Linked DNA regions of Stegostoma tigrinum. The protein of the gene in region 1 purifies or fractionates together with the protein of each later gene. This does not show direct contact. Links are inferred from orthologs where the notes say so. Each region holds a gene or a part of one and is shown on either strand. Other genes may lie near its edges. The genes, in order: abi1a, brk1 and eps8a.

Region 1 (11,091 bases):
TGATAAGAATAAAAGGAATTAGGGTGACTCCTTATAAAAATGCAGCTAAATGACATTTGCAAATACTGGAAATATGCATTGAAACAAGGTTGGAATGGCATGACAGCACAGTAGTTAGCACTGTAGCCTCAGTGCCTGGAACCTGGGTTCGATTCCAGCCTCTGGCAACTGTCTGTGTTGAGTTTGCATTGTCCCCTTGTCTGCTTGGGTTTCCTCCAAGTGCTGTTTCCTCCCACAGTCCAAAGATGTGCAGGTGAGGTGGATTGGCCATGCTAAATTGCCCATGTTCAGGGAGTTGTAGATTAGGTGGGTTATAGGGTGATGACGGCATCAGTGTGGGTGAGATGCTCTGAGGTTCTGTGTAGACTTGTTAGGCCAAAGGGCCTGTTTCCACACTGTACGGATTCTATTCTATGGGACACTGCAGGTTGCCTAAAGAGATCAAAAAAGATATGATACCAGAAATGAGAGGTTGTTCCTTTCAGGAACACTTGAATAGACTGTGGTTCTTACCTTCAGCAGAGGAGAGCTGGCACAGATCATCACTAAATAAAACTAAAAAGGAACTTAGGAAAGGCCTTTCTGTTTAAGACTGTGGTCACAATGTAGAATACTGAACTTGTTTTGTAGCAGGCAATTGGCAAGGACATTAATGAGGAAAACAAGGCAGTCATTACAAAGGAAGATGACTACAAGAATTAGTTAAGGATGGATGGAAGCTCACATGGTGCACAAGCACTGGCAAGGGGTTGTACAGCAGCTAAAATGGCCCACTTCTATGCTATAAACACCATGTGATATCATTTTTCAAACTGGCTTGCACAAATTAACTCCTCTCTCCAATACAGTACTGCCATATATCCTGCTTCAACCGAGAAATTAAATAAAGCTTGCACAAATTGCTATACAAGTTACGCTGGCTGTGACAATAGCAGAAAAAGGTGCAAAACGTTTCTGGTTAAAAACAATTCAGCAAAAAAAAAGTGTTCATAGATTGAATTACTACACAATACAGACTAATGGAGGAGATAAATTTAAAACTATTCGGTTAGAATTAGAGAAGTGTAACAGTGCACATGGAATTGGGTAGCAATGGGAAGCGTCAAGATGCATTATCAAATTTGGTTGACCAAGACTTGCGAATACTGCTGAACCAATCAAAACATTAGACTAAAATATCCAGCGGACCATACGAGGAGGGCTGATATTAAAAGTGAAGATATTTGGCAGTGGTGTACATTCTGTGTACAATATGCTTGCTTGCAGGATTAAACTACCGCTAAGTAAAATTACAGTTAACTTTCAAAAATATTGCAGACACACTGCCAGACACCTACTCTGATAAGATAAGCAAAAGGATCGAAATTTGCTGGGAGATGGAAGTGGGAAGTACCAGTACTTGGAAATAAACAGACATCTGACTAACTATCCCCTGATACGCCAGTAAGGAATATTCTATCTTGCATTAAAAGATACAAAATCTGATTCACAAGAATAATTGATGCTATGGCTGACAGGAGAACAAAGATGACAAACAGCAGCTTGATCCACATTCTGCACTGAAAGAAACTGATTGTTTTTGCAGTTTACATGTGAGCTTGAAATTACTGTTGAGCAATACAACTTTATAAAAGTAGATTTTCGAAAAAGACAAGTAGCAGCTTGAGCAACCTACTGACTACCTTCAACTGTGGACTGATCACCTACAATGATTCTAAATAAGGGGACACAGCCACAATAAGCCGCTCATGCAGTCAGAATACTAAAAGTTGACCGAGTTAAAAAATAAATTAGAACATATCTTGCAATCTTTGGAAGGAAGGGAAATTTAAAGAATGTCCAAGATTATTCTGTAGATTGGAACATTTAGCCAAATGAGATATACATTTTACACAGGTACCAAAGATGCAAGATTTCAGTCAAAAGGTATTAAAAGGGAATATGACTGTATGGTTTAAGGACAAAGCAACAGTCAATGAAATCTGTTTTAATAAAATGCAAAAACAGAAACAATGATCAGTTTTTTTTAAATGTATGAACTAACTATTTGGGGCATGAACTAGGCAAAGCTGTAAGCCACTGATTAGATAAAGTCAACATGATTCGACAAAGGGTTTTTTTAAAACGTGGAAACCATCAGGATAATTAACAAAAACGTGCAGATACAGCACATTCATTTTGAGGATGCGCTCGATAAGATCCCAGAGAACAATTTGTTCCACAAGATAAGAATTCACAGGATCAGCACGGTCAAGAATCAGAAAAGAAAAATAAATAAGTCATTATTGGGTGGCAGGATGGAACTTAGTTGAGCACCACAAAGATCAGTGTTTGGTCTCATACTTACAATTCATACTGTGACAAGAAGAACTGTGTATCCTGGTGTACTGAAGACACAAGCGACGGTGGGTGAGCTGGGGAAGATCTAAGATGCCTCTATAGGATACAATCAACTTAAAACTATTGAAAGTGCATGATGAAGTACAAGTGCCAAGTACTCGGAGGGGAACTGATAATTCTCAATCTCTACATTGATTCTGAACTACTTCCATTGACACTACATCACCAATGTGCTCTATATTCACTTATCTAATGGCTGAATCTTTCCTCAAGACATGACAAGTCAAAAAGCTTTGTCTACATTGCTTCTACTCTGCATAAAATGCAAGTATATCCATGCCATTCACCAGACTCATTAGCTCCAAAAATCAATGCTTCACTTCTCAAAGCCTCATGTTTAAATACTCCCATAAGCATCTCCAACTCCAATTCTCAAATCATTTGGATTCTTCACACTGAAATCTTCAATTATCAAGATCCCAAACTCTGGAAGTTCACTTGCTCTAAAAATAAAACTCTGAAAGCTCGGTACCAACTTTTGACTTTACACTTGCTTAGAAATACAACTCAAAAATACTTCAATTTTTAAAAAGTGCTAAAAACATGGTCCCGAGGTCACGCAGAGAAAGGCTACGAAGTTATCTATATAAAAATGACAGACGACAGAGCAAAAAAAATTGCACTGAAACCCTAAAAGTGCGACAGTATGAGCAAAAATGTAGAAGCAATTTAAGGTGCGTGTTATCCAGTACAACAGAAAGAGATTCAAATTAAAATCATGACTGCAAAACAAAGTAGCTTCAAAGTGGTCACAACTTCGTGAAATGGAAATAAGAAAGCACTTTATGCAGCCAGAGAAAACTAAGACATTTGAAGCAACTATCAAGAGTATTACAAAAAAAGGACAGATACTCAGCACCATCGTGATGCTCGTATAGAAATAAAACCTTAAATTGACACAGCCTGGGTCAAATAGCTTCAGTTTCCTTATTTTATGATAAGCAAGTTACCCAAAAACAAGTGCAATTCAGACAAACTGGAATTGAGCACAAGGTTTGAGAATCACAAGTTCATCTGCAAAGCAGGATACTTCATACTAGAGTGTTTATTGACATATGTAAACCTATCTGTCGTTGCCCGGACCACTACAGCTGACAACTGCAAGTCGTGTTGCAACTTCTATCCGCCTCCGACTATCATATTTCCGTCCATGGAAAAAAACAAACGTTACATAGGTTTCCTCCGTATCTGGCGCATCAAACTAACTTTCGGGTGGAGTTTGGGATCTCATCCTGTTACAAGTGATCTCGGAGTTTAAAAAAAACACTGCGGCTGAACATGAAGCTGCGAACACCCACATTTGCAAGGAATTTACTAAGACAAAAACGAAGAGCGAGGATAGGAAAACCTACTTCATGGCGAGGGGTGGGGGCTTTTGACGCCTTTAAGACTAGTTCCACACTAAACTGGTGTCGGAAAGACTACTTCACCGCACAGTTTCCCCGAGGTTGCCCAACCCAGAGTAAAGGGAGTGTTGCTCAATTGATATAGCTATCATTTCAGCATGTCGGACTACAAAAAACCTATACTTAGCTTTCAGACAGACAAATCACATGAAAGAAACACCGAAATTTATAACACACGCACGCAAACAGATCAATGGAAAGATCCCCTGGCTTCACACCGAATTAAAACAAAGCGGGGACGAACTGCTTGCCTCAAGAACAAAAGCTGTTTATAAAAATCAATTCAAATTGTAGAGCGGGTGCCTAAAGAGCACAGGCGGACCCGTGGGAGGGGTGGAAACTATTGGGAGAGGGAGAGCCCCGGCCCACATACCCGGGGAATATGAGTCAGACAGCGCGGCACACCCTCTGGGACACACAGAGACTGGCGTTAAAAAGTGTGCTGGTAAATCCAGGGAACTACTGACGGAACAGGCTGACTCCTTCACAAAGTGAGTTTAAAAACAGAAGAGAGCTAGAGAGAGACCACCACCCCTCTCAGCCCCGAGCAAAACCTGACATTATCGAGGCCCCGGGACGGGGGCGGATAAGTGTCCAACCGTTCACGGCCTGGGGAAATCGAAGTGAAGAAAGAAGAGGTGTGTGTGTCTGTCTGTCTGTACTGGTCTCAGGGGGGTGGTTGCAGGAGTGGGGGCGAGGGATCGAATTCACGGCCCAGCCCGTATCCGGGCAGAGTTACTTGCCACTGGGACGGTGTGTGTGTGAGAGAGAGAGAGAGCGGGACACGGCAGGGGAGTTGTAACCGCCAGCGGTGCCGCTCGTCCGCTTTTCCCGTTACCACTGCCCCCGCCAGCTCGTACCTGGATATAGTTGTTCTCGCAGTAATCGGCCACACGGCCCAGGTTCTGGTAACTCTCTATCAGCGCCCTCTTGCCGGCAGGGATTTCCTCCTCGAGTAACATCTGCAGCTCTGCCATCTTACATCTTTCTGCATCGCTTTATGACTCCTCGCTCAAGACCGCCTTGGTTACACCCTCCCAACCGCGCGAGGCACGCCGGGATCCCATAGCCTCCCTCTCACCCACCGACCGCAAAGTCATCTGGGACTTGTAGTTTGAGATGATGGGAACTGCAGATGCTGGAGAATCCAAGATAATAAAATGTGAAGCTGGATGAACACAGCAGGCCGAGCAGTATCTCAGGAGCACAAAAGCTGACGTTTCGGGCCTAGACCCTTCATCAGAGAGGGGGATGGGGAGAGGGTTCTGGAATAAATACGGAGAGAGGGGGAGGCGGACCGAAGATGGAGAGAAAAGAAGATAGGTGGAGAGGAGAGTATAGGTGGGTAGGTATGGAGGGTATAGGTCAGTCCAGGGAAGACGGACAGATCAAGGAGGTGGGTTGAGGTTAGTAGGTAGGAAATGGAGGTGCGGCTTGAGGTGGGAGGAAGGGATGGGTGAGAGGAAGAACAGGTTCGGGAGGCAGAGACAGGCTGGGCTGGTTTTGGGATGCAGTGGGTGGGGGGGATGAGCTGGGCTGGTTGTGTGATGCCGTGGGGGGAGGGGACGAACTGGGCTGGTTGTGGGATGCGGTGGGGGAAAGGGAGATTTTGAAGCTGGTGAAGTGCACATTGACACCATTGGGCTGCAGGGTTCCCAAGCGGAATATGAATTGCTGTTCCTGCACCCTTCGGGTGGCATCCTAGTGGCACTGCAGGAGGCCCATGATGGACATGTCATCTGAAGAATGGGAGGGGGAGCTAAAATGGTTTGCGACTGAGAGGTGCAGTTGTTTATTGCGAACCGAGCGGAGGTGTTCTGCAAAGCGGTCCCCAAGCCTCCGCTTGGTTTCCCCAATGTAGAGGAAGCCACACCGGGTACAATGGATACAGTATACCACATTGGCGGATGTGCAGGTGAACCTCTGCTTAATATGGAAAGTCATCTTGGGGCCTGGGATGGGGCTTGTTGTAGTCTCTCTCCTCTGCCAATGACCTGGAGATGCCGGACACTGGAAAGTGTGCCTGCGGGGATAAAACTGGCTTTTGAGGTACCAGTGGTAATGTCCTTCATTCTGGCTCAGGACATCCATGTCCAAGTCCCACTTCCTCCAGACGTGTGTAGTAACATGCCTGAACAGGTTAATTACAAAATATGCTGGAGAAACAACACAGGTCTGGCAGTATCTGTAGGGAGCGAAATAGAGTTAACTTTTCAAGTCCAGTGACCTTTCAGCTTAGAACTGAAGACACCCGATGAAGTGTGGAATATATCCTGATTTGAGTTCTGTTGACTAGTCAAAATCGTGGAACACCCATTCTTAACAGCACTGTAGACAACATAGATTAAAGAAGCACGCTATTACCTTCTCAAAGTCAATTAGTGATGGGTAATAGATATGGGCTCTGCCAGTGATCTTTACATGCCATGAATTAATTTTCAAAAAAACTAACAGATATAAACATTAACTGTATCCCTCCTTAGCTGGTAAAGGTAATTAGTTGCAATTTTATTATCATTTCCTTTAACTTCAAGAACAGAATTATTAATAGACCTTGGAAATGGTTATGTCCACTGGATGGGGAGATCATAAATAAGTAGGTCACAAAATTAATTTTAATGTGGTGCAATTTAAAAGATTCGTACAAAAGACATTAGTTGGAATTATGCAGATAACAAGTCAATTATGGTCAGTCTTCCCAGTAATGGTAGCATAAATATATATTATACACACACACTGGTCAACAGACAACAACATAGACCTTGGTTCTCCATTATGAATGACGAATATAGTCACCTTTGGTTGGGTCCACTGCAGTACGTGTGAATGAAGCACTCCTTTGGACATTTCCTCTTTTGCCCACAGTCAAATATTCTGCTGACACTAATTGTTCAGTTTCAAATGCAAAAACTATATATTTGGCTGAGCTACTTCCTGGGTAGCTGTCAGAGGACCGAGAACCATATTCCATGGGCCACCCCCAAGCTTTTAGAAGGTCAGGCAGGAAGACATAATGGAGCGGGAGGCAAAGTTTCTCTTTCCCAATGGCAGGTTAAATTTATGGTATTAGCTTCTCAGAACCTTTCAACTGGGTTGGCTTTCAGGAACCTTTTTTATATTTTTTAGCAGTCTATGAATACTCATTAATGTCCCAGGAGATGGTAGTTACATTCATGGATGCAACCTTTTTAGCCAAAAACAGGAAGCATGTGTTCACAAACCTGACTATGTACACAAGAGGAGTGCTTGGCAGAGTAGACTGCTTCCTCCGAGCCCTGTGAATAAACCAGTAATCCATTACGTGGCTGCTTCAGAAATAAAATATCATGCAAACACTTCCGTGGACTAAAGAGTCCCAATGTTCAGCTGGTGATGACAAGGCACATTCATAGCCCATCAAGTTTATTACATTTAAGCTCCTCCAGTGTTAATGGTTTTGTTCCTTCCCAGGGACCAGCGGTGGTAAATACCTTTGCTGAAATAGTAGTCCCAGGACATGGCAGCAGTAGCTACGTCAGCCAGAACAAGGCACCAGTTGCTTTTGTGCAGTGGGCTCAGCGTTGAGTTTGAGCCGAGTTCAGAACCCAGCAGCTTCAGCAGACTCATGGTGATGATGGCAAAGGACCCAATGTGATGCCAAAGACTGGTGACATGGTTCCAGCGGTGGTGTCATGGCTCCAGGCCATGGCTGGACTTAGATACCTGACAGTAGCATTGCGGCTGCAGCACTATGCACCTGAATGTTCGCAGATTGAGGGATGCACATTGTGGCTTTGTTTTTCTGTCAGCAAGGACCCATGACAAAGTGTCCTGTCTTTTGTATACTAAGATGGTGCCGGATGATGATGATGGCAACTTTGTATGTTTCTCACTGTATTCTTGTATTCCTGTAGATGAATGTACATGACGATAAAATCTAAATCTAAAGACCCTCCTTGTTCAACAGCTCATAAGAACGAACATACATTGGCCATCAAGTTTATTGTAGTCAGATTATTACAGTGTTAGAGAGGATGGCTGATCAGTCCCACCAGCCGACCTAATCGAGGTAGTCACACTGTTCATTAAAACAAATCTGATTAGAACAGGCAGGCATAATAAAACTTAAAAGGTGAATGAACATAAATGGAACGTTAACTTAAACACGTGTGTAACCTAAATGGGGCATCAATAAAAAAGGTTCTCAGAAAAGTGAGCTGGATGTAAAGGGAAGCTAGAGAAAGCAACTTAAGTGCCTTTAAAATCATGGGCAGTGGAAGGATCCTCTGAAATGGAGGCAGCGAGAGAGAGAGCAAGAAAGAGCAGAACTGAATAAGGCAGAGTTTATCTGAGTCGAGGCATCATAATTTCTGTGGGAGTGGGATCAAGGAGAAGAACAGGAATGTCAAAGGAAATAGTAAGAAAGGGAAATTGAAAGATCGCAAAGTAAAAACAAAACAGGAAATGGCAAGGCCATTCATGGTAATGGGGTTGGGGGGAGAATTGTACTCAAAATGGGGAGAGTGTGGGGGATGCAATCCAAAGATAAATGTACAGCCCCATCTTTCCAAAACTCAAATTTCAAAAGAGGGTTTCCAAGAATTTCAGGGATTAATGCAGAACCAATTGCAGCCTCATGTATATGAATGTTAATGGCATTGTGATGAAACAGTTATGTTGTCTGATCCTGCAGAAGTGTGGGGCTGCATCACAGGGTGCTATGATGGCAAATAGATTTACATTGCGTTAATTGGCATCGGCATGCAAGGTACCTTTAAGATAAAAAGCACAGATGTCTCTGATGTACCAAAAGGAAAGCTGAGAATCAGTCATGGGTGATGGACATTGCACCTATCCATGTACAAGGTATCGCCCAAGGAGGAGCAGCCTGATAACGGTCTAAAGTAGTCATTGAATATGACAAGATGGTAAATGCAAAGCAAACATCTAATTACTGTCCTTTAATCACATATCAATAATTCCACTTTACATGTTGAAACCCAGCAGCAATATTAGCATTTATAAGACTAAAAAGATGAAGAAGGAGATGAAAAGGAAAGAAAAAACACAGAATCATAGACATGAAGCTCAGGGGCTCCTGCTGTCGACAAACACGCAGCCTGGTAAGAGGGAGTCCAGTGACTACAGAAACAGTCTATAGAGAAAGGGTATATGGAAAGCATTGCAGCTACCTCCAGATAAGTAAATGACATCGTTACATTTCTGGAGTAGTTGTGATCTACATCTGGTACCTCCTGAGGAAGATATGCATTTGCACAGCTTGGAAGGAACTGCTCTGTCTGTGGGCCTGAAGATCATGGTTCCTTTCAAAATTCAAATGGGGACTTGTGTGATATTTCACACAAATCTTATTGATGCCCTTTACAGGAAGGCAACCCAGTTTCTCTAATTCATCATTGACCTGAACAGCATAGCTGCCTGAACTGTGCAAAGTGCAGTTATCGCTTGGTTTGCTCAGGTGAAAGGACCCAACAACTCTGCACAAATGGTGCTCAGAGTTCCCTGCTAGTCAGATTCGTGAACAGGGTAGGGTTTCAATCCCTCAATGACCAGCTCCTTTATGACCACTGGCAACAATTCTTGTAAATGTGTGCCCACTAACAAGTGAACTGGCACAATGCTTACACTGTGCACAACATCTAGCTTCCTCCAATGTTGGATCACCATCTCCAGAACTGGGCCTTGATGATAAAAGGTGCTTCCAGAAAGCATGATAATGATTCCAGTATGGAACCCTCAGACTGGTGACATAAATGTGTACAAAACAGCCCATGCATCAATTAGTGCCATCATTGAACAGAAATTTCCTCTTAACCATGTGCCTTTCTCTTCCCATAAAAGTGGAGGAGGTTGTCAAATCCATACCATTGCAGCACATATCTGTTGTTACAATGTGCACACAGGCAAAATGAGAATTAAATTGTGTCCAGGGTGAGTAGGATGTCATAGAATGAATAATTCTGAATTGTCTAAAACATTGTGCTAAGTTTTCAATTTATTAAACTTAAGTTTTGATTTGTACTAGAGGTTCTACATATGAAATTCTTAATTTAGTTGTAAGTAACTTGGGGTTGCTTTGTCTTTCAATACTGTACTGATCTGCTTAAAACAGGACAGTTGAGATCAAGACCTGCTTGGTATGTCGGAAATTGTCATTTCTCACCAATGCAAAATGATGTGAAACACACGGAATGTTTTCTATGCTTCGGTTTTCCCTCTGACTTGTTCTTCAGTTGTTTCTTCCTGAAGATAGTGCAAGTCTGAAGGGTGGCATTCTGCAAGCAGCGAGCATGCTATGATTCTGTATTTCATGCTGGGGTACTAGCAATATTCTTAGAACTTGTATGAAAGTAGGTGTTATCAAGGTAATCAGCTTAGACTGTCTTTAAAAATGTCAAAGTTGCCCAATTTTCTTCTCTCCTTCTGAGGCTGATTTTAATGCCTTCACCACTTAAAACAGACTAACAGCACAGATCAAAATTGAAGCTGAGGCTTTCTTGGTTCAACACTGTCTTTTATGACATATTCATCCATTCAGATAACTTGGAATCCACACAGCTGGTTTTTTAATGTTTATCAGCTGGAACATCATTTGATTTTAAAGTATTTATTTTTGATTCCTAGTTTATCCTTATCGAGTTAAAATTCCTACATGTGCTTTCTTTGGTGAACTATTTTAACAATTCATTAATATCCTATTCCTATCCAAAGAGACAAAGTTAATGCCAAGATGTATGAAACTACTTTTAATCCACCAGCATTGAACAAACTTGCTATTGCAGCTTCTCATTGTGTGCTCTATTAAAACTGCATTTAAATTGTTTCTACTTTCTCTTCTGCACCAAAGGATTATGATTAAAGGTCTCATTTTCATAATGCCTTAAGGTGTCAGACAAAGAGAAATAAAATAGAGATAGGATCTCTACAATGTGGAAACAGGCCATTCAGCCCAACAGGTCCACACCAGTCTTCTGAAGAGCATCTCACCCAGACCCATTCCCCTAACCCTGCATTTCCCACATCTAACACACCTAACCTAAACATCCCTGGGCATTCTAGCTTGGCCAATCCACCTACCCTGCACATCTTTAGACTGTGGGAGGAAACCAGAGCATTTGAGAAAACTCTCACAGACACAGGGAGAAAGTGCAAATCCACACAGACCTGAGGTTGGGATTGAACCTGGGTCCCTGGCACTGTGAGGCAGCAGTGCTAACCACTGAGCCACTGTGCCACCCCAAACACCAAGCAGAAAATTGGGCTGAGAGTTACTGAGGTGCATATT
Region 2 (10,799 bases), on another chromosome or scaffold:
ATTGAAGTAGTGTTGGAAGTTAGGCAAGAGCGTTCCTGTCCTGCTAACAGGGTAAAGGAGACCTTAAAAAAGCTTCCTTTAACATGGAGATGGAATTCACTGATGTTACAGAATTATAGATGCTCTTCTTTACAGATTCCCAATTTGATGGCTATGAATGAACTGTTGCTTTAGACTTAACTAACACAAGGCAGCAGGTAATTCACAAAGAAAAAAATAGCAAACTTCAGGTAACAGATTATAAGTAATTAGATAGTATTGCAGCATTTTTCTCTTCACGACAGGATCTGAGGCACAGGATCGCATCATTCAGCTCAATCAGTCCATGCCATTTTTGACTGTAAGATGCAAGTGAAGAAACAGACCATTCAGCTCATTGAGTCTGTCCAGGAACCCAGTGAGATCACAACTAACCTAATAATCCTCAACTCCAGTTTCCTGCCTATTCCCCATACCCCTTACCAAATAAAACAAAAATCTCTCTCAGCCTGGAAATACTCTTAAAATGATGCAGACTCAACAGTTCTGTGCAATAAACTCAAGCTCACAATTGTCTGAAAGAAGAAATTCCTCCTCCTCTCTGTATTAATGGGCATACTGAGATTATACCCGCTTGTCCTAGACTTCCCACAAGAGGTTTATGAGCCCCCTCCTATCTTTCCTCAACTCAATCTGCCATTATAATCTTCTCCATCACAGGTTTGTCAGGTTTTTCTGCAAAGGTAAACTGATTTCCCTTGACCATCCCTGTGAAGTGAGTTCTGCAACTTGGGTAAAGATACTTCCTCTGAATTATTTACTTATCGGATTTCTGGTTACCATGTATCCCGATGGTCATTGTAAAGGGTCAAATTATTTTACAGCCCCTTGTTACACAGCAGTAGAGTCCCTGCATCTGGGTCAGCAGCTCCAGGTTCAAGTCAAAGAATCATACAATCCCTGCAGTGCCAATAGAGGCCATTTGTACCAGCCATCTGAACAGCATCTTACCTAGCCCCCTCATCCCTGTAACCCTGCATTTACCATGGCTAATCGACATGGCCTGCATGTCCCTACAAGTTCCCACCTGCTCCAAAGCATCGTAACATGTCTGAACAGGTTGAGTGAAAAATATCAATGATCAACTGATAATGAACAAAGAACAATACAGCACAGGAACAGGCTCTTCACCCCTCCAAAACTGTGCTGGCACATTTTACCCTTCCATACGAAGTAAAAATGCTTGCCTTCACTGGAAGAGGCAATGAGTAAATGGATAGGCAACTTATGCTGCAGCTTTATATGCGAAATCTGCAAGGCCTATATCATATCTCATATGTTAACCAAGAACAGAACATACTGAATAAGCTTAAGGGGGTATGCAATGAATGGTATGACACCAGGAAGCTCAGGGGAACTGATGGATCTTGTGGTGTTGGTCTATCAATCCCTGAAGGTGACAGGACAGGTTAATGGGGTAGCTATGGCAGCGTACAGGACGCCTGCCTTCATCAGTCATGACAGATTATAGCAGCAGAGAGGTTATGTTAAAACTGTACAGGGCTTTGGTTAGGCCAGGTCGGGGTAGTGTGTGCAGATCTGGTCACCTGACTGCGGGAAGGACTGATTGCATTGGAAAGGGTGCAAAGGAGATTCACCTGGACACTGTTCTCAGCTGAAATGTTCCAACCCGGACTGAGGCTGGATATGCTCAGGATGTTTTGTTTTTGGAGAACAGAATGGTGAGGACGGAATATGATAGGGGTGTATAAGATTGCAGAGAGGGGTAGAAAAACTTGAGTCAGAGTACAGAAACAGACATTTCAGCCCAACTCATCCACGCCAACCAGATTTTCTAACTTGAACTGGCATTTGGTCTAAACCTTTCCTATCCACGTGCGCACAGATGGGACTAGTTCGGAATGGCATCACTGTCAGCACAGACATGGCGGGCTTAAGGAATGTTCCTGTGCTGTACTTTTCTGTGGGCTTTGAGGCACACAGACAGTGAATAGAAAACATCTGTTCCCCTTAATGGAAGGGACAACAACAACAAGGGAACATAATTCAAAACTGAAAGGCAGGTGTAAAGGACATTTGAGGAAAACCTTTTGACTGAGTGCGATGAGGCTCTGCAATGTGTTGTCTGGGAGGGTAGCTTCACAACCTCTACAAAGTATTTGGATGAGCATATCATCTTTGCTCATATGAGCAAAGTGTCACAACTTTCAAGGATACGGGCCCAGTGCAGGATAGTGGGACTGGTGTAAATAGTAGTTCATTTTTGGTAGTAAGACGCAGAGTCATAGAGATATGCAACATAGCAACAGTCCCTTCGGTCCAAGTTCATCACACCAAGCAGATACCTTAAATTAATCTAGTCCAATTTGTCAGCATTTGGCCCATATCTCTCCAAACCCTTCCTAATCATGTATCCATTCAGCTGCTTTTCAATGCTGTAACTGTATCAGCCTCCACCACCTCACGTAGCTTATTCCATACATGCACAACCCTCTGCATGAAAAAGTTCCTTCTTAGATCCCTTTTATGTCTTTCTCTTCTCACCTTAAAAGCTACGTTCTCTATTTTGGATTCCCCTACCCTGGGAAAATGACTTTGGCTATTTACCTTAATAAAAGCCCATCTTGACTTGATAGAGGTCGAAGGGTCTCTTACAAAGAATACAGCACAGGAGCAGGCCCTTCAAGACCATACTAACACTTTTTGCCCTTCCATACCAAAACTGTCTTCACTTACAGGATCCATATTCCTCTATTCCCTTCCTATTCATATATTCATCTCCGTGCTTATCGAATGTTGCTACTGTGTTTACTTCCACCACCTCCTCTGGCAGTGTGTTCCAGGTACTCACCACCTCTTGTGTGCACAGCAAGTTTTTCACATCTCTTAAGCTTCCCTCCCCATCACACCTTCAATGCGTGTCCCCTAGTAATTGACTTCTTCACCCTGGGAAAAATCCTCATACTTTCCACTCTATCTTATAAACTTCTATCAGCTTGCCCCTCAATCTCCTGCTTGCCAGGGGAAACAAATTCAGTCTATCCAAACTTTCTTCATAGCTAGAAGCCCCCATACCAGGCAACATCCTTGTATGCGTTTTCTGTATCCTCTCCAAAGCATCCACTTCCTTCTGGTGACCAGAACTGTATGCGATATTCCAAGCGTGGCCTAACTAAAGATCTATAAAGCTGCAGCACAACTTGTCTATCCTTTTACTCAATGCCTCTTCTACGCTGTATGCTGATAATTTTTGAAGCAATCTGGTGGCATCTGGGAAGAGAGAAAGAATTAGGATTTTAAGTCTGGTAAGACTTCTTCAGTAGTGAGGTCATGTAGATTTCGAAACGCAAACGCTGCTTCTCTCCACAGGTGCTGCCAGACCTGCTGAATTTTTTCCAGCACTTTTGTTCTTCTTTCAGACCTCCAACACCACTGTTTTGCTTTTATTAAACATAACTAAGACATGACATTACAATTACGTCCATTACGCAGAACAGTTTAAAACCAGTTAAACGTCCAGACTGCATTAAGTGAGTTCGTCTCACTGGTAAGTGGGGCATTCGAATTAGCTTCAGTAACCCCTGTCTGAAGGCCAGCCGAGACGAGCTTGCTCCACTCTGGTCAAATAGCTACTAGCCCTCTGATTCACACACGAACGACAGGGCGAGGCGACTGATAGGCAAAAAGGAAGCACAGCTCAATTTGGAACGTCTCTTCCGTTCGTCACCGCCCCATCGCGAAATAACCCTTTAAAACGATCTCTGGAGAGTAAATGCAAATTTAACTTCCTCCCTACCGTCGACAGTTAAAGCCAGCGACAAACGTAGGACATCAGCTGAACCAGGCCCTACGTTCCTGGCACCCAGTAAGTCAGACTTAAACAGGAAGCAATGCTTTGGTGGGTGCGCTGTCACCGGAGGCTTCTTACCGAATGAATTCAGGAAATCCGCGATCTTCTTGATGCTGCTGGTGATCACTTCAATGTATTCCCTGTTGGCCCAGTCCTGATGGATCTCCCTCTGAACCGGATCCCCCTGCCCCGCCATAGCCCAAAGAACAAACGAGTTCTCCCTCCCCTCTCCTCCTCCCGGACCGGAACGCCCTGATACTGTAATCGCTGCGTTGATTGGACAGAGCAACACAAAACCCGGCCATCTAGACAATCTTATTGGTCACATACGACCCAGAGACGCGAGTTCCTCGAAGACTATTGGACAGAAGTGGAACTGGAGGTGCGGGAAAGGCGAGACAAGATTTTCCATTGGCAGAACGTAAAAGATGGTACCGCCTTTCCGTGGAAATAAAAATCCTATTGGTCAGTCTATTGGCGAGAACTTTGATTGGTGGAGATTTTAGAGTGGGTGTGGAAAAGTGGCGAGGGTGAGAACCGTTCAATTGCTCGAAAGGAAGATCGAAGATTTGGAGGATTGCTGAAGTTATGAGAGGGCGGGGTGACAATTACCAGTTGGTTTCAAACTCATTCAGAAAGAGAGAAACAGTAATAGATATGAAGGCAACAAAATATTAAAATACTGGTGCTGGAGCTCAGAAATTTAAAAAAAGTCAGAAATTGTTGGGAAAAGCTCATCCTTGGAGAAACAGTGGTATCAGATCCAGCTGATTGGTAAAATGTGCAGTCTCTTTCTTTGGAACCTTGTGTTTCCAAAAATGCAGTATCAAAGTTAGAGTCTTTAGACATCACCAAACGTTCCAACCATTATGACGTTGCCATCCCGCTGTATCGAGTTGTTGTTGCATGGACATTGACACATTCGCCTAGTAGGTAACCAGGCAACCGAACGCAATTTTCATGCCTCACCGAATAAATACATCATATCAGGAGGCTAAGAACGTGCGACTTGACCAAACAGCCCCTACCTTCCAGGTTTTTTTTTCATCCTGATCCCCTTGGATCGGAAAGGTGAGCGTTTCCGAAAAATATGTTGCTTCAGGTCAAGTCTAGTTCCCATCGAACCATCCTCAAAATGGCAAACCACCGTCCCCTCACCCGACTACAGGTTTCCACAATGCTAGCACGGCGTCATCTCCCAATCACTTCGCCAAACGTCGCGATTTCATTTTAATCAACTTGTCCGAATGTGTATAACACACCCTATGGAGCATGCAAAACTAGTGTGCCAGCTTTCCGACTGGGAGGTAGGGACAATATCAGTGCACGATGAGAGCCCATTCACCAATTTGTGTAATGATTAAACAAGGGGTAAATTTAGACAATTATGAAAATTGCAAAGGGGGCAGAAGCATGGTTGAAACAGATGAACTAGGAATAGGCCATTCTACCCCTGAAGCAAGCTTCACCATTTAATGAAGTTATGGCTGATGTGATTGAGATCTCAACTTTCCTGTATATCTTTTTACTCCCTACTTAGTCAAGAATTTATCAAAATCAGCGTTAAAAAAAATCAGAGAGCCTTAGGAAGAGAGTTCCCAGACTCACAACCTTATGAGAAAGCATTTTTCTCTTCATCTGTATTTTAACTAAGAGAGCTGTTTTAAACTGTAACCCATCATATGGACTCTCCCAAATTGGGAAACATATGTTGGGCATCCATCAGGATATGTTTCAAAAAGATCACCTCTCATTCTTCCAAACTCCAATGGCCACAGACTTAGCCTGTACATTATTTCTTCAAAGTAATTTACCCCACCTTCATTCCAAGAACTTTCTCTGCACTGCTTCCAATGCAAATCATGTTTTTTCTTCCCCATAAGTAGGGAGATCAAAACTGTACACAGAACTCTAGATGTGGTCTCACCAGCACTCTGTACAACTGTAGCAAACTTTTCATACATTTATATTCCGTCCTCCTTGCAATTAGCAAAAGAAAATGTTCAATTTGCCTTTTGAATCACTTAATGTAGCTGCATTATATAGAAAGAATTTAGACTAGATTCCCTACAGTGTGGAAACAGGCCCTTCGGCCCAACAAGTCCACACCACCCCTTGAAGCAGCCCACCCAGACCCATTCCCCTATTACCCACACATCCCTGAACATTATGGGCAATTTAGCATGGCCGATCCACATAGCCTGCACATCTTTGGACTGTGGGAGGAAACCGGAGCACCTGGAGGAAACCCATACAGAACACAGGGAGAATGTGCGAACTCCGCACAGACAGTCACCCAAGGGTGGAATCGAACCTGGGTCCCTGGCACTGTGAGGCTGCAGTGCTAACCACTGAGCCATCGTGCCGCCCATAATGGGATGTGATGCACTGGAGGACCTGCAGAGGAGATTCACCAGGATGTTGCCTGGGATGAAGCAGTTTAGCCACATAGAGGCTGGATGAGCTCAGGTTGTTTAAGAAGATTGAGGGATGACCTGTTTGAGGTGATAACACAGTGTGGAGCTGGAGGAACACAGCATGCCTGGCAGCATCAGAGGAGCAGGAAAGTTAACATTTCAGATCAGAACCCTTCAGAGTGTATTGGATTACAAGGGCTATGGACAGATTGGAACGGAAGCAGCTGTTCCCCTTTGTTGAAAGGACATAACAAGGGGGCTTTATTTAGAAGGTGAAGGAGAAGAGTCTGAGAGGGAATTTGATGAAAAATCTTTTCAGCTAGAGGATGGTAGGAACCTGAAAATGCATTGCGTGGGAGGGAAGTTGAGGTAGGAAACCTTGCAACCTTTAAAACATTTGTGGATGAGCATTTGAAATGCCTTAACATTCAAGGCTATGGGCCAAGTACTGGAAAGTGGGATTGGTGTCAAGTTTGGTGCAGACTTGATGGCCTGAAGGGCCTCTTCTGTACTGTATGACATTATGACTGAATGTTGTGATTCTTGTACCAAGAGATCCTTATTCCTCTGTACTGTAGAGTTCTGCCATCGCTCTCCATTTAAACAATGTTATGTTTTTGTACGTGAGTTTAAACTAAACCTGCCGAGTTTTTGCCCTTCACCTATTTATATCCCTTTGCAGACTCCGTATGTCTTCTTCACAACTTAATACAGTGCCTTTCTGGCATCAAAAGCTGGTTATACAGTCAGTGATAATGGGAACTGCAGATGCTGGTGAATCCGAGATAACAAAGTGTGGGGCTGGATGAACACGGCAGGCCAAGCAGCATCTTAGTAAAACAATTTTCCAATTTTCTTTCTCATTTTCGCATATCATCCTCACTCGTTCCAATTTATTTCTTTGTAGTTTTGGTTCATCCTCCTTGGAAATAGCAAAGGTCCCGCACAGGAGTATATTCAGACAAAAACTGACATCTAACCAACAGAATCATTAGAAGAGGTGACAAAACTCCCACGGTCCAAGACATACCTGTCTCAGTGCCTTAAAAGAAGAGACAGAGGCAAAGAGATTTGGGGAGGGAATTTTAAAGCTTAAGGCCTTGAAAGCTGAAGGTAATACTGCCAAACACTGGTAAAAAGAATGGGGGGGGGGGGGTGGAGGGGGTGGATAATTGCTCTTGTCCTAACTTTTAAACATTGGTACTGCAGCAATAAAAAAAAGTCTGAAACATTAAAATAATAACACAGAATTGTTACAATGCAGAAGTACGCCATTCAACCCATTCATGTCTACTCAGACTTTTCATAATTTTGACTACTTCAATTAGACTAGTTTTTAATTTCAGATTTTTATTGAATTCAATTTTCAAGTCCTGCCATGACAAGATTTGAGCCTAAGTCCCCAGATGGCATCCTGGGGTTCTGAATTATTAGGTCAGTGATATTACCATGACACCAGTACCTTCACTTCAAATTGGCGCCTTGCTCTTGTACCCTGTGCTTCTTGTTTATGAAGCCTAGGCTATTATATGTTTCATGAGTACTCTCAGCCGATCCTGTCACTTTTAATGACTTATGCACTTAATATACCAACGTCCCTCTGCTTTTTATTCCTAAATTCATCCACAGGATGTGGGCTAGTGCCAGCATTTATTGCCCATCCCTAATTACCCAGAAGGCAGTTAAAAATCAACTACATTGCTGGGGGTCTGGAGTCACATGTAGGCCATACCAGATAAAGATGGAAGATTTTTAGCAGAGGCAAGTTTTTCACACAAAGGGTGGTGAGTGCCTGAAAGACACTGCTACGAGTGGTGGTGGAAGCAAACACAGTAGCAACATTCAAGAAGCACCTGGACAAATACATGAATAGAGGTGTATGGATCCTGTAAGTGAAGACAGTTTTAGTATGGAACAGCAAAACGGTTCAGGCTTGGACGGTCAAAGGACCTGTTCTTGTGCTGTATTATTCTTTGTCTTCCTTGCCCGAAAGTGAATCAGATGTGTTTTTCCTTGCCATTGTCAATAGTTTCACAGTCATCATTAGACTCTTCTTTCCAGATTTTTATAGAGTAAAATTCCACCATTTGTTATGATGTGATTTGAACCTGGGTCCCGGGAATGTTATGAGGCCCTCTGGATTAATGGTCGAGCGATAATGCCACTAAATCATTGCCTTTTTTTTCATCCTTTATATAATTTCTCCATGGCTTTACCAAAATCTATCATTTTGCAATTCACTGCATTGAACTTCACTTGCCAACAATCTTCCCACTCACCAAATTTTTTATGTCCTTCTGAACAGCACCTTTTCGTAAGTGGCTAGAGATGGGGCACGGTATAGTTCCAGTTCAGTCTGTCCGGAATTTTCACTTGCAGAAATTTCCACTCCAGCAATACTTAATCACTAAGCATGGATTAAAGCCAGGAATGTACAAGTCCAAAATTGGGGTGGAGATGGGGATGAGAAAAGCTATAGAGGTATTTGAATGCAAGGATAAGTAGTTTTGAAATTTAGCCTTCTTCTAATAGGGTGCCGTGATTGCTCTAAATTAATGACATATGGTAGTTGTTGCATTTTGAGTTTAACATTATATGACAGTGCAAATGTCAAAAATAATCTTCAAATGCAATTGGATTTTTTTCCACCATAACCATAAATAACTTGACAATTCCCCTCTTTTCATGAACCTGATCTTTTGGGATCTTTACAATTGAAGATGACCACCTATCAAGTGTGGCATCCCTGGACTCCATTTGAGGATCATTTTCAATGGGTCAGATACGGTCGCAAGTCCCTTCAGAAACGAGATGGAACGGAGATCATACAGATGTCTTCACCATCAGACCAAGAAGTGGCCCTCTACCTGCAAAATGACGTCGCAACTGATGACTGGAATCTCTTGGATCTTCTAGGGGACACAGGGAAACTCACTTCTGAGATGTGCCACACTTCAGAAGATGAATATGATAATGCAACAATCATACATAAACCTCATCCCGTCAAACTCAGCTCCGTTGATTCTGTATTTGGGAGAGCTATCACCAGCAGAGCACCAAAACTTGCAGGGGGCTTTCGTGCTTCAGAAAGCTCAGCTTTTACTGAGATCAGCATCGATTCCCCCATACCGACTTTAACTGCACGGTATAAAATTAATTTTATCATGATGTTTTATAGGCAATTATTAAGGCTTGTCACCTTGATTTACACAGCTTACCAGAAATGTTTTTACCTGTTACAACATCAAATTTGATACTTTACTAAACTTGTTTCTTAAAAGACTTTTTAAAATAAAAATAAAGTGAACTTTTTTCCCATTACTTCTCTCTACAGATTCCTTCAGCCAGAGCAGTAGCATGCGCAGAGCTTTCCTGTAACTACTGTAGTTGCTGGGTAGAAGGTAGCTGTTATTTTTCTTAGGGATACACAAACACGTGAGATATTTATCTCCCCTTAGCCTTTGAACCATTTTCTTTTTAAAAGCAAAATCAACCATTGGGCAAGAAGTAGTTTGACATCAGGCTACTATTCCTGCTCTGTGTGTGTACAAGTGGAATTAATGAGGTGGCCAAGTGGTATTATCACTAGATAATAGGAACTGCAGATGCTGGAGAATCCAAGATAATAAAATGTGAGGCTGGATGAGCACAGCAGGCCAAGCAGCATCTCAGGAGCACAAAAGCTGACGTTTCGGGCCTAGACCCTTCATCAGACAGGGGGATGGGGTGAGGGTTCTGGAATAAATAGGGAGAGAGGGGGAGGCGGACCGAAGATGGAGAGAAAAGAAGATAGGTGGATAGAGTATAGGTGGGGAGGCAGGGAGGGGATAGGTCAGTCCAGGGAAGACGGACAGGTCAAGGAGGTGGGATGAGGTTAGTAGGTAGATGGGGGTGCGGCTTGGGGTGGGGGGAAGGGATGGGTGAGAGGAAGAACAGGTTAGGGAGGCAGAGACAGGTTGGACTGGTTTTGGGATGCACTGGGTGGAGGGGAAGAGCTGGGCTGGTTGTGTGGTGCAGTGGGGGGAGGAGACGAACTGGGCTGGTTTAGGGATGCAGTTGGGGAAGGGGAGATTTTGAAACTGGTGAAGTCCACATTGATACCTGAAACTGGTGAAGTCCACATTGATATCAATATCTTGACATCAATGTGGACTTCACCAGTTTCAAAATCTCCCCTTCCCCAACTGCATCCCTAAACCAGCCCAGTTCATCCCCTCCCGCCACTGCACCACACAACCAGCCCAGCTCTTCCCCTCCACCCAGTGCATCCCAAAACCAGTCCAACCTGTCTCTGCCTCCCTAACCTGTTCTTCCTCTCACCCATCCCTTCCCCCCACCCCAAGCTGCACCCCCATCTACCTACTAACCTCATCCCACCTCCTTGACCTGTCCGTCTTCCCTGGACTGACCTATCCCCTCCCTACCTCCCCACCTATACTCTATCCACCTATCTTCTTTTCTCTCCATCTTTGGTCCGCCTCCCCCTCTCTCCCTATTTATTCCAGAACCCTCACCCCATCCCCCTCTCTGAT
Region 3 (10,948 bases), on another chromosome or scaffold:
TGAATTTGAGTAGAGGAATCCTCACGGACCATAACTGCCACGTAGGCTAATTTTGTTTTCTGTCCAACCTTCTGAGAATGGCAGCATTACAGTTGCTAAATTCCATTCAATCAGATCATTCTAAAATTGAAAAAAGTTTCAGAAGTTAAAGCCATTGTCTCTTTCTTGCAATCAATCTGCTCTGACATATCACAACAAATCTCTGAGACCATCACACCCTGAGGTGGAATTGAGACCTGGACCCTCTGGCTCAGAGGTATTGATGCTATGAATACATCCTTTTTAATTCTATCATTTCAGGATAAAGATCCTGAGAACTTATCAGGTTTTAATTTCTCCAGTACCGTTCCTCTGTTGATACTAATTACATTACCTTCCTCATTCTAAACTGCTCCTAGGTTGTATTTGATTTGTAACTTGTGGCTTTTACTATGAAGACAGACTAAAAATATTTGTTCTATATCTCTGCCAATTTCTTATTGTCCAAGATAATTTGTCCCGCCTCTGCGTCTAAAGGTCAGTGTTTAGTGTAGCTATTTGCCTCCTTTTTATACAGTTGTAAGAGCTCTTTCAATCTATATTTTTTAATCCTGGCTAGTGAACTCATTCTTTTGTTTTCTTTTCCCATCAATCTTGCGTTTCTAAACCAATCCAATTGCCAGACTTACCAGTGTTTTTACAACATTTTAAGTCTTTTATTTTAATCTAATACTTAACTTACTTAGTACACCATGATTAGATCTTTCTCATCAAGTTTTTTTACTGCATTGTATTTTTGTTTAAACTGTTGAGTTGTTTCTTTAAGTGTTTCCCTGTTTATTTACCATCACACCCCTTAGTCCAAGGTTGTTTGGCTACTGCAAACAGGCCGAAGTCTAGCTTGCCACGGGTTTCTATAGGCTCATGGACCCATATTCAAAATACAGGTCAGTGCAAGTGACAGATTGTACAAGGAAATACACTTCCAAGGACAGGCTGCTACTCTCCAGTGTTCGTGGCTGATGAGACAAGCAAACAATATGAATGTGAGTGACTTCACTCAGCCTGAATCCAGAAACACCAATGCAGAGGCAGTGGTGAGTTTGCAGAAGGGAGGAGAAGCTATTTGTGTGTATGTTTGTTTGTGTGTGTGTGTGTGTGTGTGTGTGTGTGTGTGTGTGTGTTTGTGTGTGTGTGTGTGTGTTGGGGTTGTCAGGAATAGGCTTTCTGCCAAGTGTTGTGTTCGAGGTCTGGAATGGGGGGACACAGCATAAGAGGAGGAGGTGAGACTCTTGCCCTCCCATGCAGATGTCATCCCCAACCCCCCTGAAAATCTACAGGAATCAAGATGGTGGCATTGGCTTGGGAAACTGTGAGCAACATGAATTATAGCAGCAAAAGACCCAGGGCAGATGGAATTAGACAAGGTGTGATGGTACATTCAATTATCGTGAAAGCTTCCTCATCGATATTAATATCCAAACCTACTACTTTGTCAGCATCTATAGTACTTTGCTTTCCTATTTTACACTCCACATTAAGTTTTTGACTTTTAATTTCTACTTAAGATGAGGAAATATTAATCACTCATGCAAAGTGCAATTTTGCTATAATGGAGCTCACTAGTGGAGATCAAAATAGCGCAACATTACATCTGAGATGACAAAGTGTGGAGCTAGATGAACACAGCAGGCCAAGCAGCATCTTAGGAGCACCAAAGCTGACGTTTCAGGCCTAGACCCTTCATTAAATGTCAGCTTTTGTGCTCATAAGATGCTGCTTGGTCTGCTGTGTTCACCCAGCTCCATACTTTGTTATCTTGGATTCTCCAGCATCTGCAGTTCCCAATATCTCTGATGCAATATTACATCTGCCCTGGAAATATATACATGATATGATGTAATAGTTTATTTTCATAAAATGACTGAGAGGTCTATAGCTCAAAATACTATGAAAAGAGTTAAGGTAAATGTTACTGATGATCGTTTAAAGAAAGCAGATGATATCAGGATGTTTATCTTTTTTGGCTTTTAGTGTCTAAATTTTCTCTAATTTTGATTTCAAAAGGGCAGAATAGTGTAAGCATACAACTGAATGCATCATGCAATACCAAACACTGCTGCAATGGGAAGAAGTGAGATGAAATCACGGTTGTTATCAACAGAAACTGTCTCAACACAGGTATGCTGCAAAATGTATCACTATTTGGGTTCCTGTGACCACTTATTTGTTTATTTCCCTCATTAACACCCAGATATGTGTTGTTAAAAGAAGTTTAGGGAAGAAATCTCACAGTCTCAGGAGTGTTTATTCCACCATGTCACCATGCTGGGTTGTTCAGGCGTAGGTAAATGTAAGTTAGCAGTGTCTTTTCACAATGTGGCATTTTCTTGAATATTTATTTCTCAACATTGATCACCTTATAAATGTAACTCTGCAATGGTGAACAGGTCTAAAATATTTATTTCTGATTGTGGTACTAATTATTCTATTGAAGTGCACATGCTTTGCACAATCAGAAAATGATTTACTTCTCATTTTACTCCTCATGACTATATTTTGTACAGACACAATTAATTGATTTATGAATTAACCTTCTATTACTTATTAACTACTAATTATTAGTAACAGACTCTCAGTCTCAGTGATTCTTTTTTATTCATTCACTAGATGAGGTTGTTGTTTGCTAGGTCATGACTACCTTTGAGGTTCTGCATTTAAATTTGAATCTGAATTCCTCAAACTGTCTCAGAGAGCAAGATACCTAGTATTTCTGATGTTATTGTTCCAAGAATCCACTGAGAAAGGACGTGCCCAAACATTGACAGAAGGCATGTATCACAACCTTTCAGTGCTCCTGGTCATAGCTGTGGTGAATAATATCTATGCCCTCACTGTACCGTCCTCTACCACATACTTTCTAATTACAACATTACCCTCCTCCCCAACATGATTGGCATTCTGTACGATGGTTAGCCTCAGAGAAACCTCTAGATGCTGCACAGCTTAGAAAGGCTGTTGGATCAGTTTGGTCATAGACACTATAGTCCTTAGTTTTCTCTACATTGACTGCAAGTATATTTAACTAGTTGCAATCTTCAAAGGAATCACTACATGCTGGCTTGCATAACTGCCTCACTGACATTCATAATCCCCTGTGCCTGGTCATTGATCATTTGCAAAGTTCTACCTCACCTGGGGGATGTCATTACCACCGGAACTAAGTGCTGAGGAATCTCCCTTTTGTTGATGTCCCACAACGTCTTCATCAAAGACATCAGCTCAGCAGATCTGGGTTGAAGCTGTAGACAGTAGACTGTATTGTCATTCCAATGTATTCCCACATTTTCTGTCTATTTATACCAATAGCCCTGCCATATCTTTTAAATCTTGATTTAATTAGTTTAGTTGATAAATAAAATAAATAAAAGAAGTAACAGCAATTTGCAATCAACTATCTGGGAAAAACAAAAAGAATTTTCACCAGCTACTGGAGGTAAAACAGTGAGATTAAAAAGAGTGCCTCCGTCCCACTCTTCACCAAATTCCCACATCTATCAAATTCTCAGCCAATTGGTTCACAAAACACTGTTTTTGGATCTCTCTCGTATTTCCCCAATCCTTCAATGACTACTTGAACATCTCTGGGCCACTTCAGGGTTGCATTCTTGGTCATTTCCCCTTCAGTAACTACTGGACTTTAATGGTGTTATCACCAGAAGCATGGATTCAAAACTACAACTTCAACTTATCCAACTTTAATGTAATAAAATGGCATAAAGTGCTACACAGGAACTTTATAAGATGCATATTAGAAGACATGAGGTCAGTTGACCAAATGTTTAGTCAAAGAGGTAGGGTTTAAGGAGTATCTGAAAAGAAGAAAGTGAGACAGAGAAACAGAAAGTTGTGGGGATGGTATTCCAGAGTTCAGAGTTTAGAAAGCTGAAGGAACAGTCACCAATGGTGTGGCGGTCAATATCAGAGATGGCCTAATGGCTAGAATTGGATGATTGTAGATATTTGCTGGAGGTGTGAGGGTGGAGGAGATTATAGTTATGAGGAGGGGTGAGGCCATGAATGGATTTGAACGCAAGCATTGAAATTTCAAAATTAAGACATTACGTAATCCAGAGGCAATGTAAATTAATGAGCACAGCGTTGATAGATGAACAGAACTTAACAAGTTAAGAAATGGAAGCAGAATTTTTGGGACCTCAAGTTTATGGTGGTTGAATGTAGGAGGTCAGCCAGTTACGCATCGGAAAAGTGAACCCGAGAGATAATGATAGAATGCATGCACGAATGCAGCAGATAAGCTGAGACCAAAGAGAAGTTGGGCAATATTATGGAGGTGGAAACAAGTGATTTTAATGAGGCATGAAATGAGATTGGAATCAAATGTGATATCAAGTCTACAAGTAGGCTGAAAGATAGTAAGAACTGCAGATGCTGGAGTCAGAGAGTGTGGAGGTGGAGGAACACAGGCAGGCCAGGCAGCATTTATTTTCTGAAGGGTGGCGACCAGAAACATCAACTTTCCTGCTCCTCTGACGCTGCCTGCTGTGTTCCTCCATCTCTGCACTGTGTTATCTATTACAAGCAGGCTGGGCTTGGTCTCAGACATCTGCCAAGAACACGGGTACAATCAGGGACAAATGAGTGGGACTTGGAGTGTGGCTGTTGGTTCTTCGCCGAGCTTGGCAAATGAATTGCAAACTTTTTGTCTCCAGTGGAGAAGACATGATCAGTGGGTAGGTTATACCAATATTTTGCAACATCTCTAACTTGGAGTGCGGCATGAAACTGGCATGACTTCAATCTTCACAAAAATCATTTGGGGAAAAGTCCTGTTCGTCGAGAATTGGATATTGAATAAGCATTGTAATCATTTGGAACAGAGAGCTAGTTATGAATTACAATTGGTTGTCTTCAGCATGCTTGCAAAAAAATTATGCTGTGCTTTTGGGATGAATTTGCCAAACAGCAGTGTATACATGATAAGTCGGAGGGACTGAGGACAGATACCTGCTGCAGCATAAGTGACGGTGTAGAAGTGGGAGAAGTATTACAATCTGCGCCATGATTATATTAAGAACCCAAGTGTATTCTCACCAATCTAGACAGCAGTTGACACGTGTTCGAAGAGGGTGGTGGGGTGTCAACTGTCTCAAAGAAAGCAGGTAATTAAGGACAAGGAGGGAGAATATACTTTTGTCATAGTCACTTAGGACTAATTTTTGGAAATGTTTCAAAGTGCTAGGTTGTATAATTACAGAAATTAGGTGAGTGTATTAGCAAAGCCAGAATAATGTTGATGGTGATTTTTTAACTTTAGCATAGAGGCAGATAAGCAGCTGACGGAAAGTTAGTGAATTTCTGAGATAGTGGGAACTGCCGATGCTGGAGAATTTGAGATAACAAGGTGTAGAGCTGGATGAACACAGTGGGCCAAGCAGCATCAGAGGAGCAGGGAAGCTGGTGTTTGGGTCTGGACATTCTGAAGAAGGGTCCAGACCAGAAACATCAGCTTTCCTGCTCCTCTGATGCTGCTTGGCCCGCTGTGTTCATCCAGTTCTACACCTTGTTATATCAGTGAATTTCAGAAGCGTGTCTGGCATAGTTTCCTACAGCAGTATGTTCTGGATGCATCAAGAGGTCAAGCAATGTTTGATTTCATAATGGGTGAAGAGTTGGATTTAATATGTAACCTAATTGTGTATGAACATTAATAAAATATTGATCATGGTATTATTGAATTCAACATAGTATGGGAAATCAAAAAGCATGAATCAGCTACTGGAGCTTTAGATTTAGGTAAGGCCAATTTAAACAAAACGAGACAGAGACTGTGCACAGTAAACCTGTAATCTGTTCACAGAAAATCTACTGATGGGTAAAAGAACTGAATGCAGTGATGATATTTAAAAGAAACATTTAACACAATACAAAACCAGTTTATTCCTGAAAGGGAGGAGCTCCACTTCGCGAAAACAGCCATGGACAATTAAAGAGACAAGGGCTAGCATAAAACTAGAAGGGCTTAGAAAAATGCAGAACGGGAAAGATACAAAGCCATAAGGCGCTTATTAGATCTAGATCTGGGGCGTAGAATGCATTGCCGGAATGGGTAGTGGAGTCGACCTCAGCGGCATTTAAGCGGCTATGAGATAGGCATATGGATGATAGTATAAGGTAGCGGCGGAGGTTAGATAGACCTTAGGATTAGGATAAAAGTTTGGGACAGCATCGTGGACCAAAGGGTCTGTACAGTTCTATACTTGGCGCAGGGTCAAAACCCTAAGAGGCAGGGGTTTGGGGATCTCTTTCATCACATGGACTGCAGAGGTTCAACTTCCACCACCCACCGTCTCAAGGAGCAGGAGGAACCGGGCAGAAAACTCCAGCACCTGAGGATAGCCCTGCAAGCGAAGACGAGCGGGTCCTGACGGGAGGTGGCGCTGGCGCGCTCAGCGGCGGACGCGCGTCCCCGCGAGGCGGTGTGGGGGCACGCGGGAGCGCTGCGCGAGCGGCTTCGGTTGTTCGCGTCTGTGCCCCAGGAGTTTTGCGGGGGGGGTGGGGGCGCAATTCGGGCGCTGCTCGCTGACGGCAAGTGCCCAGGTGCCTGGAGACTGAGATACCGATCGAGGCCGTGAGCTGAGGTGAGAGGGGCTGGGGATCGATGGACACGGTTGGCGTGGGGGTTTCGGAATCGGCCCCCGAGGTGCTCGGAGGGAGAAGGGGAGGGTGTGCGGCTGAAGTTGGAGAGCTGCCCAGGGATAGGAGCGTCACCCCACCCAGGGCCCGGACCCCGGACCCCGGACCCCGGACCCCAGACCCCAGACCCCAGACCCCAGACCCCATCCCGGTAAAGAGAGGGACCCCCTCACCCGGTGTGTTAATAACGTTGTTCCACTTTCCACACAACACAACTAACTCATTTAAAAAAAAATATAAAATTATATGTACTGAATAGTGTGGCCGTTCAGCCCGTTGACCCCGTACACGCTCTTTATAGCCCTGCTCTTCTCCCCTCCCCCTTTTTGTTTTAATCCCTATCCAACTCCCTGTTGAAGGCTGTTGTTTAACCTATTCCCACCATCCTGTCATTGGCTGGAGAGGGAGGGAGTGGGAGCTTCCTCTCCTGGGGAAGGTGATTTGGGACCTCCTGTTTTGGGTGTGTCTAACAGCGGCGGGATGGGACCTCGTACGCTGTGCGTGGTAAGATTAGGAACTCATGACCAGGCACGGATTTGGTTCCAGGTAAAGTTTTAAAACCGTTTTAGTTCTGAGGATATCGAAGTCATGCAGAAGTATTTTCTTTGGGTGAGAGTTGAGGGTCAGGCATCTGCCCGTAGCAGGGGTGAGTCCTGTTGTTACCCGGGCCCCCTGGACTCTGGCCAGTGAAAAGGTGGTCTGTTGCTTTGGATCTTTTTGTTTGTACTGAGCAATGTTGGCTAAGGTTGATTAACTTTTTATATGAATGGCATATTGTTGATAAAGAAACTCTCTAGTTTGTTTTGTTCTTGCTGCTCTTTGTTGTAAAGTATAGTGAGTTTATTTGTCATATTCTGTGACTATTATTGTGTGCCAGAAGTTGGAGGTTGGTCAGCTCTGTTGGCTATCTTGCTAATACTGAGTGAGGCCAGTAGCATTGGTTTAGTTTCCACATTGGCTAAGGTTACCAGGAAGGATTGCCCTCCTTAACTTCTCCCCTTCTCGGAGGTGTGGTGTGTGAGGTTAAAAGACTAACATCCTGTGGTCTGGTACAACTATAGCAACTGTACACCAGAGGTGTAAACGTATGGTGGTATACTGATGTTGACATAAGAACACCTTTTAAACAGGAATAACTGAAATGAGGTGTTCCAAAACAGTTTTTAATTCCTGTTTTATCTGAACCTCCCCTTCGAAACATAACTTTTTCACGACTACTTTTAGAAAAAACATGCACAGATGCTTTGGAGTAGTTTTTTTAGTTTTAACTTCTATTAAATTGTTCTGGAGTTGTGAAATATTATGAAATGTGGATATTGTATGTAGTTCATAAAAAATATTTATGGACAGTTTAATTTTTTCATCTTGTCTGTTTAAACTTATGTAGTTCCTTTTTAGTGCAATTGCAAATTAAACTGTAAATCTCAGTATAGGTTGGGTCTGTTCAGCTTCATTGTGGCTGGCTGAAGGTAAATGATCTTCAAAGAGGTCATGAAAGGGCAAAGGTAATGTCATCTTCTAAATCATTTTTGTAGAAGATAATTTGAAATTGGAGGAAAACATATTGTGTGAATCAACTAATGTAGATAATTGAAATTTTAAAGCAGGAGTTTGTTTTTGTTTGTGGTGACCTGATAGTGACTGCTGTGAGAACTGGATTAGATGTAAATGTAAACTTGTGTAAAAGCAAACCAATTTTGCAGAGGAATTTTAAGGCATGATTAAGTTTATAAAAAGCTATTTCCTTTCTTGTGCTTGAGATTGGTTTTGTGATGGACCTTATTGAAAGCACCTAGATCTGATTCACAACAATGGGTTATATTTGTTAATTATGAAGAAGTGCATAATGTTTCTCAATTTTCTTTTTTGGTCAGAGTCCTTTTGTCACTTCAAGAAAAGGATGTACGAAAGTGATAACTGCAGCTTTCATGATTGACCATTTGGGCTTGAATGTACTTGATTTGAAATCTGTTATGCAGATTGATGTGTGATTTTTAATTGAGATGAAGTAGGAATCATTTTGGGTGGTTAATAACTTTTAAAGGGTTTGGAGGTGTACGTGAACATTGGTTTACCTCAAAAGGACATCCTTTTGCTTTGATTCATTTGATTTTTGCTTTGAATGCATCAGCTGAGTTAAAATTTGAGAGATTAGTCTTCATGTTACCCTTTCGAAACTCTGTTTATATTTCTAAACTATTTGGTTTAAAGCTTCAGTGAGGTGCTAATGAAGAGAAATATAAAATAGTTGATTGTTCCTTATTGTTGGAGTGATCTGATTTAGTATGTCTATTAATGAAAAGGCACACTGACTTTCAGTTTGTTCTGGTAGTTTCTGCTTCTTGGGTTAAGTCCAAGTTAATTTTGATTATAGAATCATATAACCCCCATTGTGTGGAAATAGGCGATTCGGCCCAAAAATGCACACCGACCCTCCGAAGAGCATCCCACCGTATTCCTGTAACTCTGCATGTCCCACAGCTAATGCACCTAGCCTGTACATCCCTGGTCAATATGGGGCAATTTAACATGGCCAATCCACCTAACTTGCACATCTTTAGACTGTGGGAGAAAACCAGAGCACCTGGTGGAAGTCCACGCAGATACGGGAGAACATGCTTACTCCACACACAGTCACCAGAAGTTGGAATTGAACCTGGTACTGAGGCAGCAGTGCTAACCACTGACTCACTGTGCTGCCTTTGCTTTCTGACATCGCTTCAGAAAAAAATCAGGAAGGTGATGGATGTAAGTGCTCTCAATATTTTGTTTTAAAACGTCTACGCCTGTGTGCACCTGAAGCTGACCTCCACAGATGAAACATGTCAGTCCCAACAAGGCTATAATGACAGCATCCCAGATTTTTAAAAATTGTGCTGAACTTTGAACTTTTAAAACTGTTATTCAGAGATTTTTGCACTGGCTTCTAAAGGAATCAGTTGAGACCAAATTAGACACTTGCAGGCAAGTTCATATCTCTGTAGTAGTGACAGTTCTTAATTCTAGCTCCACTTGAGGGTGGGTAGTTTGGTCCTTATGTCCTGTAGTTCTGCTGATGACTTCTAACACTTGGGTTATGTATTTTTTTGGGCCTTTAATTATATTTTCTTTTGAGTAAATTTGTTAGATTCCAAGATTTATCCCTGTTCTTTGGATTTTTGAATGAATCTACCCTTAAGGTTTGGTGCTCAGAGCTGCATGCAATCGTCTAGTTATGATCATGCCAAGGAGATGTGCAATAATTCAAGTAGTTATTATGGTTTCTCAAATGTCCCTGAGAAATTCTTGTGTCATAGTAGTTTTCCCAGATCCTTCCTGTGAATCATAAATTCTTAGTCTGTTGAGACTGTGTAAGTAACCAAAGAAATTTTCAAGAGAATAAAATGTGAGGCTGGATGAACACAGCAGGCCAAGCAGCATCTCAGGAGCACAAAAGCTGACGTTCCGGGCCTAGACTCTTCTTCAGAGAGAGGAAATTTTCAACTTGATTTTGAAAGTTACCATTGAGTCTGCTTCTAGTATCTTTTCAGGTGGTGTATTCCAGATTATAACTTTTACTGTCAATAATGACTTTATTTCTTTTTCCTTTGATAGATTTTAAAATAAATCACCTCATAAAGTGTTGGCAAAGAGCTGTAGCTTGGGTTGTGGATGAGGTTGCTGACTCTCTTGCCAAGCTGGCTTGTTTTTGTTCAGACGTTTCGTCCCCATGCTAGGCATCAGTGGAGCCGCTGATGAAGCGATGTTATTTTACTCTGCTTGGAATTTATACTGTCGGATCCGTTATGGTTTGCAGTGTCCCTTCTGGTTTTGACACACAGGCACGCATGGGAATTCCTAGAGGCACGATTCTCAATGCATGATGCCATCAACAAACATATAGAATTGGACCCCGTATATAAACTCATACAGATCAAAACCGGAAATGATGCTACAAACCACGATGGACTGGGCTGTATCAATTGCAAGCAGAGTAAAAGAACATCACTTCGGAGGCTCCGCTGATGTCACGTAGCATGGTGACGAAACGTCTGAACAAAAACAAGTAAGTCAGCAACCTAAATCACTGCATTTTGATATCAGTTTTCCCCAATGCTACTATTGTAACCATTTAGTGGTTCTAAACTTGAAACGATATTAATTGTCACTGGATCACAACCCTGGACGTCCTTCTCAGATGTTAAGAACTGCAGCCCTTCACCTCTTGCTGCTAGATGGCTTGCTATCACCTTCTTGAGGATAGTGTTGGGCA

The links.
Region 2: the proteins of abi1a (region 1) and brk1 purify together in Homo sapiens (co-immunoprecipitation; 3 studies listed by BioGRID and IntAct, with this or other methods). This does not show direct contact. The link is inferred for Stegostoma tigrinum from reciprocal best matches to the Homo sapiens genes ABI1 and BRK1.
Region 3: the proteins of abi1a (region 1) and eps8a purify together in Homo sapiens (affinity purification with western blotting; 4 studies listed by BioGRID, with this or other methods). This does not show direct contact. The link is inferred for Stegostoma tigrinum from reciprocal best matches to the Homo sapiens genes ABI1 and EPS8.

What each region holds. Positions count from the first base shown.
Region 1 is NC_081355.1:123,346,356-123,357,446, forward strand, and holds the start of abi1a (abl interactor 1a), read right to left. Parts: upstream 4,863-11,091; 5' UTR 4,784-4,862; coding exon 4,667-4,783; intron 1-4,666. UniProt on the Homo sapiens protein: May act in negative regulation of cell growth and transformation by interacting with nonreceptor tyrosine kinases ABL1 and/or ABL2. May play a role in regulation of EGF-induced Erk pathway activation. Involved in cytoskeletal reorganization and EGFR signaling.
Region 2 is NC_081364.1:11,924,475-11,935,273, forward strand, and holds the start of brk1 (probable protein BRICK1), read right to left. Parts: upstream 4,103-10,799; 5' UTR 4,047-4,102; coding exon 3,929-4,046; intron 1-3,928. Other genes in the region: FANCD2 opposite strand protein-like, read left to right, coding at 8,988-9,521. UniProt on the Homo sapiens protein: Involved in regulation of actin and microtubule organization. Part of a WAVE complex that activates the Arp2/3 complex. As component of the WAVE1 complex, required for BDNF-NTRK2 endocytic trafficking and signaling from early endosomes.
Region 3 is NC_081378.1:42,684,502-42,695,449, reverse strand, and holds the start of eps8a (epidermal growth factor receptor kinase substrate 8a), read left to right. Parts: upstream 1-6,476; 5' UTR 6,477-6,641; intron 6,642-10,948. UniProt on the Homo sapiens protein: Signaling adapter that controls various cellular protrusions by regulating actin cytoskeleton dynamics and architecture. Depending on its association with other signal transducers, can regulate different processes.